Linked DNA regions of Oryctolagus cuniculus. The protein of the gene in region 3 purifies or fractionates together with the protein of the main gene of each other region. This does not show direct contact. Links are inferred from orthologs where the notes say so. Each region holds a gene or a part of one and is shown on either strand. Other genes may lie near its edges. The genes, in order: FAM174A, GALNT16 and SLC39A11.

Region 1 (4,431 bases), on a different chromosome or scaffold from region 3:
CGGATCAGTGCGGTGCGCCAGCCACAGTGCGGGCCACGGCGGCCATTGGAGGGTGAACCAACGGCAAAGGAAAACCTTTCTCTCTGTCTCTCTCTCTCACTGTCCACTCTGCCTGTCAAACAACAACAACAACAACAACAACAAACATTAACTCTGTCCCTACCCAGATGTTTGTTTGTCAGTACCTGCTCAAGTCGGGGTTACTGTGGATGCCAGCATTAAACCTCAGAGAAGGCTTTATTCCAGACCACTGCAATAGGGGAGAGGGGCCAGAACTCAGTGGGGCAACTCGTTGTAAACGAAGACCTGGAGAGCTTTTAGGAGCTGAGATGGCAGGATCATACGCCACCTGTGCTCGCTAAGTGACTCTACCCAAAGGAAAAGTAAAGCTTCTCCTATTTTCTTCACAGGAGAGTGAAGTAGGCAGGCATACAGGTTAAAATTGGTCAGATTTGTGAACTGGAAGACCACGCCCCTGTGTGGCCTTATCCCCCTACCTGGCCACACAGGGGTGCCCACCAGCCAATCAGGTTAATTAAGCACTCCCCTTTGGAGTGGGTTAAAAGGCTAGGGCACAGTGTGCTCTGCCCCAGCTCTTCTTCCCTGGCCTCTTGCCAGGACAGGGCTTGCTGTAGCCCTGCCCCTCCAGGGTGCAAGGCCTTTGGGCCATGTGCTCTAGGCTTCCTGGCCTAGACGCTCATCCACATGGCTGGTTCCTGGTGCTTGGTATGAACCCCTATTCACCTCTCTCCCCTAAATAAAGCTCTCACTCTCTTATGCACCTTTCTTACTAAATAAAAGCTTAAAACGTACCATGCTGCCTCGTTTATCTGTGCCGGTATTTAGAATTCTTCTCTAAATATTAGGCAAGAACCCTCTCGGGCTTATTAATAGCGGGGATTTAGTAATAAGCCCGTAGTGAAATTGTAAGGCACCCCAAATTCCAGTAGCGCATGTGGCACCCCGGATAGCATTTCTAGGGAACTTTAAGGGGCCACATTTCAGGGTAAATTTTAGGGGACCTTTTCCGATTTCAAGAGGATTTTTACAACCTGAAGCCAGCACCTGGGAGAAAGTAGATTCCCATCTCCCCGTCCCCTAAACACACCCAGACACTAGGAGATAGGGACACTGTCTGCCTGCTGGAATACATTGCAGAGAGAGGAGCCTCAGGTTCTTGGCTGTGATAAGAAACTTAAATTTTCGACAGGAAGTGCTCTGAGGAAAGTGGGCCAGGGCCTGGAGGCAGAAACAAGGCCTGTTGAAAGTTTGCAACTAAGCTGACTGTGCGGAACTTCTTAAGCATCTTGCTTACTTAATCTGTTTCTGCAGATCTGCACCAAAGAATTCAAATAATAAGCTTCCTATTTCTCAGCTTCCGCATGCAGAGCTGCTGCAAACGCCACACAATCCTGTCTGTCCGCTTTCTTTGTTACCCACCTTAAACCACTCCTTTTCCTATTCAGCCCGACAGTCAAAGCACCAAAACCAACCTCAAAGTCTGAACCTTCCTGCTTCCACCAGGACGCGTGCGCAGTCGGCCCCGCGCCTCTGACGTCACTGAGCGCGCCCCGCCCTGACAGGATAGCAACCGACAGCGTCTCTAGCAGCAGCGGCCTCTGAGATGCACGAACTTCCGGTTCTCCCAGCAGCTGCCGGCGCCGCCGCCTGTGCCACCTGTCAAGGCCCGGCCTGCCTCGGTCTCCTTCGCGCCCATGGTGCCTCCTGCAGCCCGGGCGGCGGGCCCGGCGGCTCCCGCGTGGTGAGAGGGCGGTCCAGGGACGATGAAGGCCCCGCACTGCTGCTGCTGCGGTCTCGGGCGCCTCCTGGCCCCTGTCCTGGTCCTGCTGCTGCTGCTGCCCGCGCTGAGCGGGCCCCTGGCGGTGCTGCTGCAGGCCGCCGAGGCCGCGCCGGGCCCCAGGCCTCCGGAGCCGCAGCCACGCACGCCGCCGCCGGGCCCCACCCCAGCTCGGCCTGAGGTCGCCGGGCCGCGGGGCCCCGAAGGCGGCAATGGCAGCAGCCCCGGGGCGGGGCTTGTGGCCGACGAGGTCGCGGGGAAGGCCGGGGAAGGCTCCGTGGGAGGCGGCCTCGCCGTGAGCCCCAACCCTGGCGACAAGCCCATGACCCAGCGAGCCCTGACCGTGTTGATGGTGGTGAGCGGCGCGGTGCTGGTGTACTTCGTAGTCAGGACGGTCAGGTGAGGCGAAGCCTCGGTGGGTTCCCCCGGGCTGCCCTAAGGCAGAGTCCCGAGACCAGCGTTGCTGTCTTCCTGCCCCCTGCACTCGGGGCTGCGGCCGAGAATGTGAGGTGGACGCGCATTTCCTTGGGGGAAGTTTGATTCTCCAAGTAGTAGCCGCAGCTTCTCCGCGCCCCACATCTCATCCTCTTGCCCGAGGCCCGCGCCAGTGCCTGCGGTGGAAGTGGGTCCCTTGCGTTTCGGCCACTCGCCCTGGTGATGCTGCACCCCCCCCCCCCACCCTGTTCGTGTCCCTGGGTACCTACCTGGCCGAAATTTTGCCTACAGACTCCTCAAAGGCAGGGTTACTGTTTCGTGGTTGGTTCAAGACGTCTTTGCACGGTGTGGCCACTCAGTACAAAGTTTCTCTTTGGGATAATCATGCAGAAAGGCCTCCTGGCTATGTTATTTGTATAAAACTTAGAAGAGCAGTCCTCCCTTACCATCGCTGTTTCTTAGTGTTGGCCGTTAACCTGCCCTTGAAGTGATTGGGTGGTTAGCTATGCAGCTGGGCTCCGTGGAAGCCTTGGCACACACAACCAAGGCCTCCCTGTGAACCAGAGCCGCTCAAGAGGGGAGCTGAGGACCAGCTGCTGTAAGCGCAGAGGGCACGTTGTAAGGATTGCAATGGTTTGTTGTTTTCCAAAGCGATTCACCTTTCGCCCCATAATTACCTACCTAGTCTCTGATGCCTTTTTTAAACATGTAGTTAAAATCAATTATTTAAACAGTGCTTCCAGTTAAGCAAGTCATTCTTAGGAATGGGAAAGGGACAGCATTTGATTTTTAAACTGCTGATGAAGAAGTGCAGTGTAAACTAGTGGTCTCTGGCACGTGGTCCATCCAGGGAACCCCTGGGTGCTGGGTTCCAGAGGCGTTTATGACATCAAGAGTGTCAAGTTGTTTTCAAAATAAATCGTTCTCTTACGACTTTATAAGATATAAAAAGGTCATTGATACCTGTTTAGAGTCACATTGCCAGTTAAGAGACTTCTTGTTCAGTTTTGGTGTAGTATACAAGAATAATGTCGAGTATCTGAAAAGGCCATTAACATGCTTTTCCCTTTCTCCAAGTTCCTATCTGTATGGAGCTGGGCTTTCTTCACATCTTTCAACCAAACACATTGCAAATTATTTAATACAGAAGTAAATGTGGAAATTACTTTTTTTTCTGTTCCTATTGTATTTCTGTCAGTTTAAGTAGATATTGAACAGATTTATGCCATTTTCATATTATATTACCCTGTATTCAATATTATTTTAGATCAACAAGCATTTAGGTGTTTTCTCTCATATAAATAACATGTTGAATATATATAAAATTCACACAAATAAAAGTTCCTTAGACATCCTGAATAATTTTCGAGAATGTAAAGGAATTCAAAATGCTAGAACTGCTGTCGTGAACAGTATTACTTGAGCAAGATACTATTGGTTCATAAAGACCAACAAATGTAGGCCCACTCACTTTTAATGGGGAAATTGGAAAAAAATGTTTTGGAGCTGTTATAGGCATAGAGCAACTGAGTGTTATATTTGTTACACATATGAGTAAGACGATAATTTGGGGAGACTATGCCCCTCAATTGTTTTTGTTTCTAACTCTTTTTAAATATTTATTTATTTATTTGAAAGGAAGAGTGACAGGGAGAGGCAGAGAAAGAGAGAGAGAGAGATCTTCTGTCTGTTGATTCACTGCCCAAATTCTGGCAACAGCCAAGATTGGCCCAGACCAAAACCAGGAGCCGGGTACTCTATCCAGATCTTCCATGTGGGTGGTAAGAACCCAAATACATGGGCCATCTTCCCCTGCTATCCCAAGTACATTAGAAAGGAGCTAGATCAGAAGTTGAGCAGCAGGGACTCAAATCACCACTCAGAGATGGGATGCTAGTGTATCAAGTGGCAGCCTAACCTGCTGCACCACAATGCATCCCCTGCCTCTGCCTTGTTTATAATATTATATACAAATGTTTGTTGTTGATTTTGTTATTCACTGTTGTGAAACTTGGAAGGACGTAATCTTTTTAATCAGATTCTATTGGGTGACTCTGTAATATGGCATATGAGAACAACCAAATTCTGAACTATGGCTAGTAAAAGCTATTCTTTAACCAGTATCTCACACATCCATGCCATCCAAGTCCTAAATTTAGTTGGCTACCGAACTTCCAAAGCTTGATTGATGCTAACAA
Region 2 (3,644 bases), on a different chromosome or scaffold from region 3:
GACTTCCTAGGGCCAAATCTTATGCAAACTGCAACATGGAGTGCGCGTGTCTCCGTGGCGTGCAGGCACGTGCGCGCATGCGCCAGGCCAGGGGGGCGTGAACTGTCCGCAACACGGGCACCAAGCTTCATCGGGCCCGGGAACTGACACCCCAGCCTTCCCCGCCACGAGACACCACGGAGAGGAGGCCCAGCCCCTCCCCACCGTCACTCAGCGGACCTCGGCCTGCAGCCCCTCGCCCGCTGACCCCTGCCGTCTCCCGCAGAGCTCTCCTTCAGGGTGTGGATGTGCGGCGGGAGCTTGGAGATCGTCCCGTGCAGCCGCGTGGGCCACGTCTTCAGGAAGCGGCACCCCTACAACTTCCCCGAGGGCAACGCCCTGACCTACATCAGGTGAGTCGCAGCGGACGTGCCCTGGGCTCGGATTGGGACGCCTTGGCCCTGGACGCTGGCCCTCCCAGTTGCTCAGCCGTGACTTTGGGCAGTCACACACATGCACACCCATCTCGTGTATCGGGCCTCGGTTTCCCCAGTCCCCCCCTCCCAGATCTGACATTCTGGGATTGCAGGACCTCCAGGAAGTTTCCACCAGGTATCCCTTGCCTTGGCTCCCTTGGACCAAGATCCTGATAACCAAGCGACTCCCTCCCTGGCTGGTCCAGGTCTCAGCTCCGATATGCTCTTCTCTATGAAAACTTCGTCCATCTGCCGCATTACAATCCGCCTCTCTTCTGGCCCCTACCCTGCTTACTTTCTGTCTGCTGCACTTTTCACTCACTGACTTGTGCTGCTCGCCACTCACTGAGGCCCGCTTGCTGGTCACGGATGCCTGACTCGATCCATTGTCTCTGCAGCCAAGTCCCCAGCCACAGGGTGCACCTGCTGTTGGCCTGGAAAGCCACTCATGACCCGTCTTCCTCCTGCGCAGCCCTCTTGGCTCTACAGGAGTGGCTACTGTTGAAAGGTAGCCGCTCTGCACGTCCATAACTGTGGCTTCCATGCACAGAGACAGACACACACAGCCACCGGTCCATGCTGGTGTTTATGGAAAGGGGGCCATGCTGTGGTTGTTCCTGACGCCTGTGTTTTGGCCACGCTGCACGGAGTGGAGCAGAGGCGTCTGTCCATGTGACGCACCCAGGCTGAGCTTGCAAGCTTGCACCCTTTCCCAAAGCGGCCTCACACTCCATCACATGGAGGTGCTTTGTTCTCCATGTTCGTGTGCGTGGCCTTGCTATGCCGGGGAGGTTTTGCGCGTCTGTAGAATGGATTCCTTAGAGAGTGTCCGAGTCTGTGGTGGACACTGACAGATGTTCCTCGCTCCCTGGAGACTACGCTAATTTATATCACCCCAATCGGCATGCGTTTGCACACGCTCCTGAGAGCCTTCTTGCCCTTGGCTACATGGCCTCATTTTTTCACAAACTGCAACTGCATACTTATTTTTTTTAAGATTTATTTATTTACTTGAAAGTCAGAGTTACACAGAGAGATAAGGAGAGGCAGAGAGATAAAGAGGTCTTCCATCCGCTGGTTCGCTCCCCAGTTGGCCGCAATGGCTGGAGTTGCAGCGATCCGAAGCCAGGAGCCAGGAGCTTTTTCCTGGTCTCCCACGCGGGTGCAGGGGCCCAAGCGCTTGGACCATCTTCTACTGCTTTCCCAGGCCAGAGCAGAGAGCTGGATCGGAAGTGGAGCAGCTGGAACTCGAATTGGTGCCCATATGGGGTGCCGGCACTGCAGGTGGCAGCCTTACCCCCTATGCCACAGCACCAGCCCCACAAACTGCAAACTTTTAACTGACCAAAAGGATGGCAGCGTTCATCTTGACCCTGACCCCACCCTGCTGTCTCTCTGGCGACCTTGTTTTGCTCTTCTGTTCTTCTAGGAACACCAAGCGCACCGCAGAGGTGTGGATGGACGAGTACAAGCAGTATTACTACGAGGCCCGGCCCTCCGCCATCGGGAAGGCCTTCGGCAGGTGGGACCCCACCCCACGCCCTCAGTTTCCCTCCGTCCACGTTGGCACAGCCATAGCAAACTACCTTCACAGTTTCCCTAGGGAGAGAGCTCTCCCTGGGCTGGGAGGCCACGCAGAGACAAGGCCCTGTCCAGAGGTGCCCGCAGCCTCCCGGGGGGAGGGTCGATTGTGACTGAGCTGCCCTGCACAGCTGCCGGCAGCACAGGGACATCTGTAGCAGGACCTTGGGAGGGGCTGTCTGTAGAAGAAGTCTGGGCTTTTCTCTCTACTCCTGTTCACTGCTGTGATCTGCTTGCCTATTTTCCTGCCGGCTGTGACGACTACAGTCTCGCTAAGCATTTTTCAGAGGCAGATGGGTTGTGAAATCCATTTAGTGTGGGTCGTGACCAGCATTGAGAGAGAGAGAGAACACTATGGGTTAGATTAGCACTGAACAGAATGGAAAATTAGCGTTGATTGCAGTGAGAGGTAAACATTGTATGATGAAACTGTGATTTCAGTTGTGTGTGTGTGTGTGTGTCCTACCTACATGGTGCATACCGGATCACAGTGGAGGATATAGGAACAGTCTTCAAAAAGTTCATGGAAAATGTGCGTTATGGAAAAGCCATGTGTGGGTTTTGAAATTTGCTTTGTACCCAAATAAGCTTACCTTTTTTTTTTTTTAACAAAAAGATTTCTTTCTGTATCTAAAAGGCAGAGTTACAGAGAGGCAGAGGCAGAGAGAAAGAGAGAGAGGTCTTACATCCACTGGTTCACTCCCTAAATGGCTGCAATGGCTGGAGCTGTGCTGATCCTAAGCCAGGAGCCAGGAGCTTCTTCCAGGTCTCCTACATGGGTACAGGGGCCCAAGCACTTGGGTCATCTTCTACTGCTTTCCCAGGCCATAGCAGAGAGCTGGATTGGAAGTGGAGCAGCCAGGACTTGTACCAGCACCCATATGGGATGCTGGCATCGCAGGCAGCAGCTTTACCTGCTACACCACAGCGCTGGTTCTGGAAGCTTATCTTTTAATTCCGTTTTTTTCCATGCACTTTTTGAAGCCCCCTCACTTTCATCTCCTACTTAAATTCTGGTTTCCCTCATGCAGATTTGTCACCGTCTCTATAAGAAAATATGCCACGAAACAGTTCACTGGGAGCTAACATGTGCTCAGTCCTTCACGTCCTCTTAGATTCGTCCGATTCTTAGAAGTCTTCTGGGGTGGGTGGACTGCTATGGAAGACACGGAGGCTGGGCTGGGTGGCCACAGGGGCATCGGCCAGGGGCTGCTGTGGCAGGTGTAGGCATGGAAGGTGAGCGCGGGGCTGGTGTCCCACGGACACATCAGCTGGCACGGTCGTGGCCACGCTCCCAGAGGAGATGTAAATGTGGCTCTTCTTGCTCCGGCCTCGCTCGGAGTGTGGAGTTCAGGAGAGGGAAACACCTGTTGGAATCGGCTCTGCTCTCTGCAAAGCTCAGCACCAGCTTAGGGTGCGCCGAGGTCTCGGGGGAGGAGGGGGCAGGAAGCCGGCTAAAGCCTGGTCCCCCGAGAGCTGGGCTTGTCCTGAAAGGTGGGCTTGGGGCAAGAGCCCAGAGGATGACTCGGGCAGGAGGCCAGGGCAGGACGGCGGAGGCTGCGGTGGCTCCTGGCCTTTGTTCCCCAGAGGAAAATGGGAAGAGGGACT
Region 3 (3,644 bases):
CTGGCCCAGCCCTGGCCACTGTGGCTATTTGGGGAGTGAATCAGCAAATGGAAGGAAGAAATCAATCGATTTATCTCTCTTTCTCTCTTTAACTCTGCCTTTCAGATAAATAAAACCTAAAAAGAAGAAGAAGAATAAATAGAGCAGGTAGGGGCCAGGCTTGCTCTTACAACAGTCCACTCCTGTGGGAACCAACCCAGTACTGCAATAACTACATTAATCCCTTCTATGACCTAATCAGCTTCCTCCCTAATCACTGGTCCATCTCTAAAGGGTTCACAACTCTTGGTGTCATTACACTGGAGCCAAGATCCCAGCACACAGACGTTTAGGGATGCACTCAGAGCACACAGGGCCACAGCAGCTCCTGTCAACGTGAGCCAGGACGCGACCCCAGCAAGCGAGCACACAGGGCCAGGGCGGCGCAGCAGCAGGTGTCCAGTGCGGGAGAGCGGGGCACTTGTAGTCCAGCGCTGTGAGTTCTGGATCTTCGCATGTTTTTCTGTTCTTCTGGGAAACAGCAAACCATCATGGTACCACTCAGACTAGGGTCACTGGACTCAGTTCTAAACCCACTGGATCGATCAAGTAGGGCTCCTGGTGGCCGGAAGACAGCCCCACTGTGACAGAGGACACACAGGTACCTCTCTTCCCTGCCGATGAGCACTCCTCAGGGTGAAACCGACTTCTACAGTCTCTTTAAGAGACTGGGGGTGAGACAACCAGGCCCTCTGGGCAGGATCGATCCACTGTGGTCATCTTTGTGCGCTGGGGTCCCAAGTGGACATCATCTCAAGACACACGGAAGGAGAAGTCCTAGACAGCCAACCTAAAAAGTTTTCTCATAACCCAAAGGGGAAGGGACCAGAGGAAAACGAGGGACGGATGCTGATGACACCGCGGGGAGAGCCCGCCCGTGTATGATCACAGAGACGCCCGAGGCAGGAGAGACGGAGCAGAGGAACACGCCTCTCAGCTAGACAAACAGCCGAGCCTAAAAGGCGACTGGACATACTGCACCTCAGGCAGAGTCAAAATAGACTAGACGACATGACATCTATTAGAGTGTTCATTATTGCATTTGAAAGGCAGAGAGAGAGAGAGAGAGAGAGAGAGAGAGAGAGGTGGTCCATCGACTAGTTCATTTCCCAAACACCCGCAGTAGCCAGAGCTGGGCCAGGCTGAGGCCAGGAGCCAGGAACTCCATCCAGGTCTCCCCTATGAGTGCCAGGGGCCCAAGCACTTGAGCCATCACCTGCTGCCCCCCCCCCCCGATGGTGTGCGTTAGCAGGAAGCTGGGTCAGAAGCAGTTTTGCTAGCACTGGGAGCAGGCGCTCAGATGGTGATAGGGGTGTCCCACGCGGTGACTGAGCCATCATACCACATCAGCCCCAGCACTTTCACTCTTTAAAGATGACAGATGTCTTCATCGTGTAAGCAAAAGGAGATCAAGTCACACGGAGGAACACGCTCAGTCTGGCCCCGCCCCCTGCTCCCCCCACAGCACTAACACCGGAAGCTGTGCAGTGACTTCCGTGTGAGCCGTGCAGGGGAAGCGTCTCGGCTCTGGAATCAGGTATCAGCCCGGCTCTGTGGGCTCTGTAAGGACCCGGAAAATACATCACTTGGGGACGCACCTGGGGACTGCTCAAACTTGAGTCCTGAAGAACCAAAACCAGATCAGAATGTTTAAGACTGAAGCTTGCGGAAGTCGAGGCTGGAAAGGCAAGCGGGAGAATCACCAACATGAACGACGACTCCTGTTTCTCAAGGCCCCAGCGGTGTCCTGAGAGCTCTACCCGTGATTTAGCACCTAAGACTCAAAATGAGCCAGGCACCGTGTTATTCTGTTCCCATTCCACAGATGAGCAAACCAAGGCTTCTGAAGCTGAAAGTTTGTCCAGATAAGCTCATCGGGGGTGGGCGTTGTAGGGCAGCATGTAGTGGCGCCGTGGGATACCTGCATCCCACATCAGGACGCTGGTTCAAGTCCCAGCTGCTCTGTGCTTCTATCCCAGCTCTCTGCTAATGCGCCTGGGAAGCAGTGGATGATGGCCCAAGTACTTAGGCCTCTGCCACCCTTCTGGGAGACCCAGATGGAGTTCCTGGCTCCTGACTTTGGCTTGGCCCAGCTCAGGCTGTTGGAAAGTGAACCAGTGGATGGAAGAGTTCTCTGTCTCTTCCACTCTATCAGTCTACCTGTCAAGTATTTATTTATTTATTTTAAAGGCAGGGAGAGAGAAAGAAAGATATCTTCCATCTACTGGTGCACTTCCCAAATGGTCACCAATGGCTGGAGCTGGGCCAGACCGAAGCCAGGAGCTTCTTCCAGGTCTCCTACGTGGGCAGCAGGGGCCCAAGGACTTGTACCATCTTTCACTGCTCTCCCAGGTGCGTTAGCAGGGAGGCAGATTGGAAGTGGAGTGGCCGGGGCTTGAACTGGCACCCAAACAGGTCACCGGTACTGCAGGCAGCAGCTTAACTTTCTATGCTACAGAGCCAGCTCCTACCTTTCAAACAAAAATAAATAAATCTCTTCGAAAAAATAAAAATAAACTCATAGGTAGGAGGTAGAACAGGAATTCTGAAACATACCCTCAGGAGTAGCTTTCCTTAGTTTATTTTTGTGATACTGTTATTTATATTCTCCTATTTATATATTTATTTGTTTATATTTATTATTTTTAGAAAATTATTTTTACGCTTACCCATGTCTTCTGATTGCACTAAAACAAATCCATTTCCTTTACATTATTTTCAAAATAAAGCACCGCCATGTCTTTTTTATTCCAATTAAAATGAATCCAAAGACATAGAACAAACCACTCCAAAACGCTAACCAGGAGAGGGTTGGTGAGACATTTCTGAAGGACTCTCGCACACACAAAGCAGGTTAGGCGGACCCCAGCATCGAGCTAGACGGAATTCACTAGGTTCAAAAAGCACAGAACAGACCCAGACACATCCTGTGCTCACGACAGGCCCCCTCCAGAGCAATCAAACAGTAACAAGTTCACACTCCAACGAACCTGGTGTCCATATGGGAAGAAGTAGGTAGAAAGAGGGACGGTTGCTCCAAGCCGTGGGAATGGGAGCTTCATTGTAAAATGATCACGCTACAATGAGGCGCCCCCACAGTGAGCCAACAGAGACCTGTGTCCCACCCGCATCCCCTCCATAAAGGACTGTGTCACCACCGCCCACGCGTCTCTTCCTGCCAAGTGAGCGGCTCCCCCTCCAGGCCCGGGCGCGCAGGCTCGGGGCCAGACCTCACCTGGGACGTTGTGGATGGTGATGGCCAGGATGAGCAGCGCGATCCTCCTCCAGCTGCTGCCGCCCGGCTGTGCCAGGTTCCCTCGGGAAGACGCCGGGGAAGCAGGGCCCCCTCCAAGGCCAGCAGCCGCCACCTTCTTCCGCTGGTATGCCTCGCCGTTCTCACTCTTATCTGAGCAAAGAGAGAGGAACGGGTGAAGAGACTGCTTTAAAAGTGTGTGTGTTGGGGGCCAGCGTTGTGGCACAGTAGGTCAAGCTACTGCCTGTAATGCCAGCAACTCGTATAAGCACTGGTTCGAGTCCCGGCTGCTCCACTTCCGATCCAGCTCCCAGCTAATGCACCTGGGAAAGCAGCGGAACATGGCCCAAGT

The links.
Region 1: the proteins of SLC39A11 (region 3) and FAM174A purify together in Homo sapiens (co-immunoprecipitation; 3 studies listed by BioGRID and IntAct, counting the BioPlex papers as one, with this or other methods). This does not show direct contact. The link is inferred for Oryctolagus cuniculus from reciprocal best matches to the Homo sapiens genes SLC39A11 and FAM174A.
Region 2: the proteins of SLC39A11 (region 3) and GALNT16 purify together in Homo sapiens (co-immunoprecipitation; 3 studies listed by BioGRID and IntAct, counting the BioPlex papers as one, with this or other methods). This does not show direct contact. The link is inferred for Oryctolagus cuniculus from reciprocal best matches to the Homo sapiens genes SLC39A11 and GALNT16.

Annotation. Positions count from the first base shown.
Region 1 is NC_091445.1:23,031,886-23,036,316, forward strand, and holds the start of FAM174A (membrane protein FAM174A), read left to right. Parts: upstream 1-1,605; 5' UTR 1,606-1,784; coding exon 1,785-2,197; intron 2,198-2,502; exon of another isoform or gene 2,503-3,088; intron 3,089-4,431.
Region 2 is NC_091451.1:15,216,672-15,220,315, forward strand, and holds part of GALNT16 (polypeptide N-acetylgalactosaminyltransferase 16), read left to right. Parts: intron 1-265; coding exon 266-392; intron 393-1,884; coding exon 1,885-1,977; intron 1,978-3,644. UniProt on the Homo sapiens protein: Catalyzes the initial reaction in O-linked oligosaccharide biosynthesis, the transfer of an N-acetyl-D-galactosamine residue to a serine or threonine residue on the protein receptor.
Region 3 is NC_091448.1:7,100,775-7,104,418, reverse strand, and holds part of SLC39A11 (zinc transporter ZIP11), read right to left. Parts: intron 3,446-3,644; coding exon 3,275-3,445; intron 1-3,274. UniProt on the Homo sapiens protein: Zinc importer that regulates cytosolic zinc concentrations either via zinc influx from the extracellular compartment or efflux from intracellular organelles such as Golgi apparatus. May transport copper ions as well.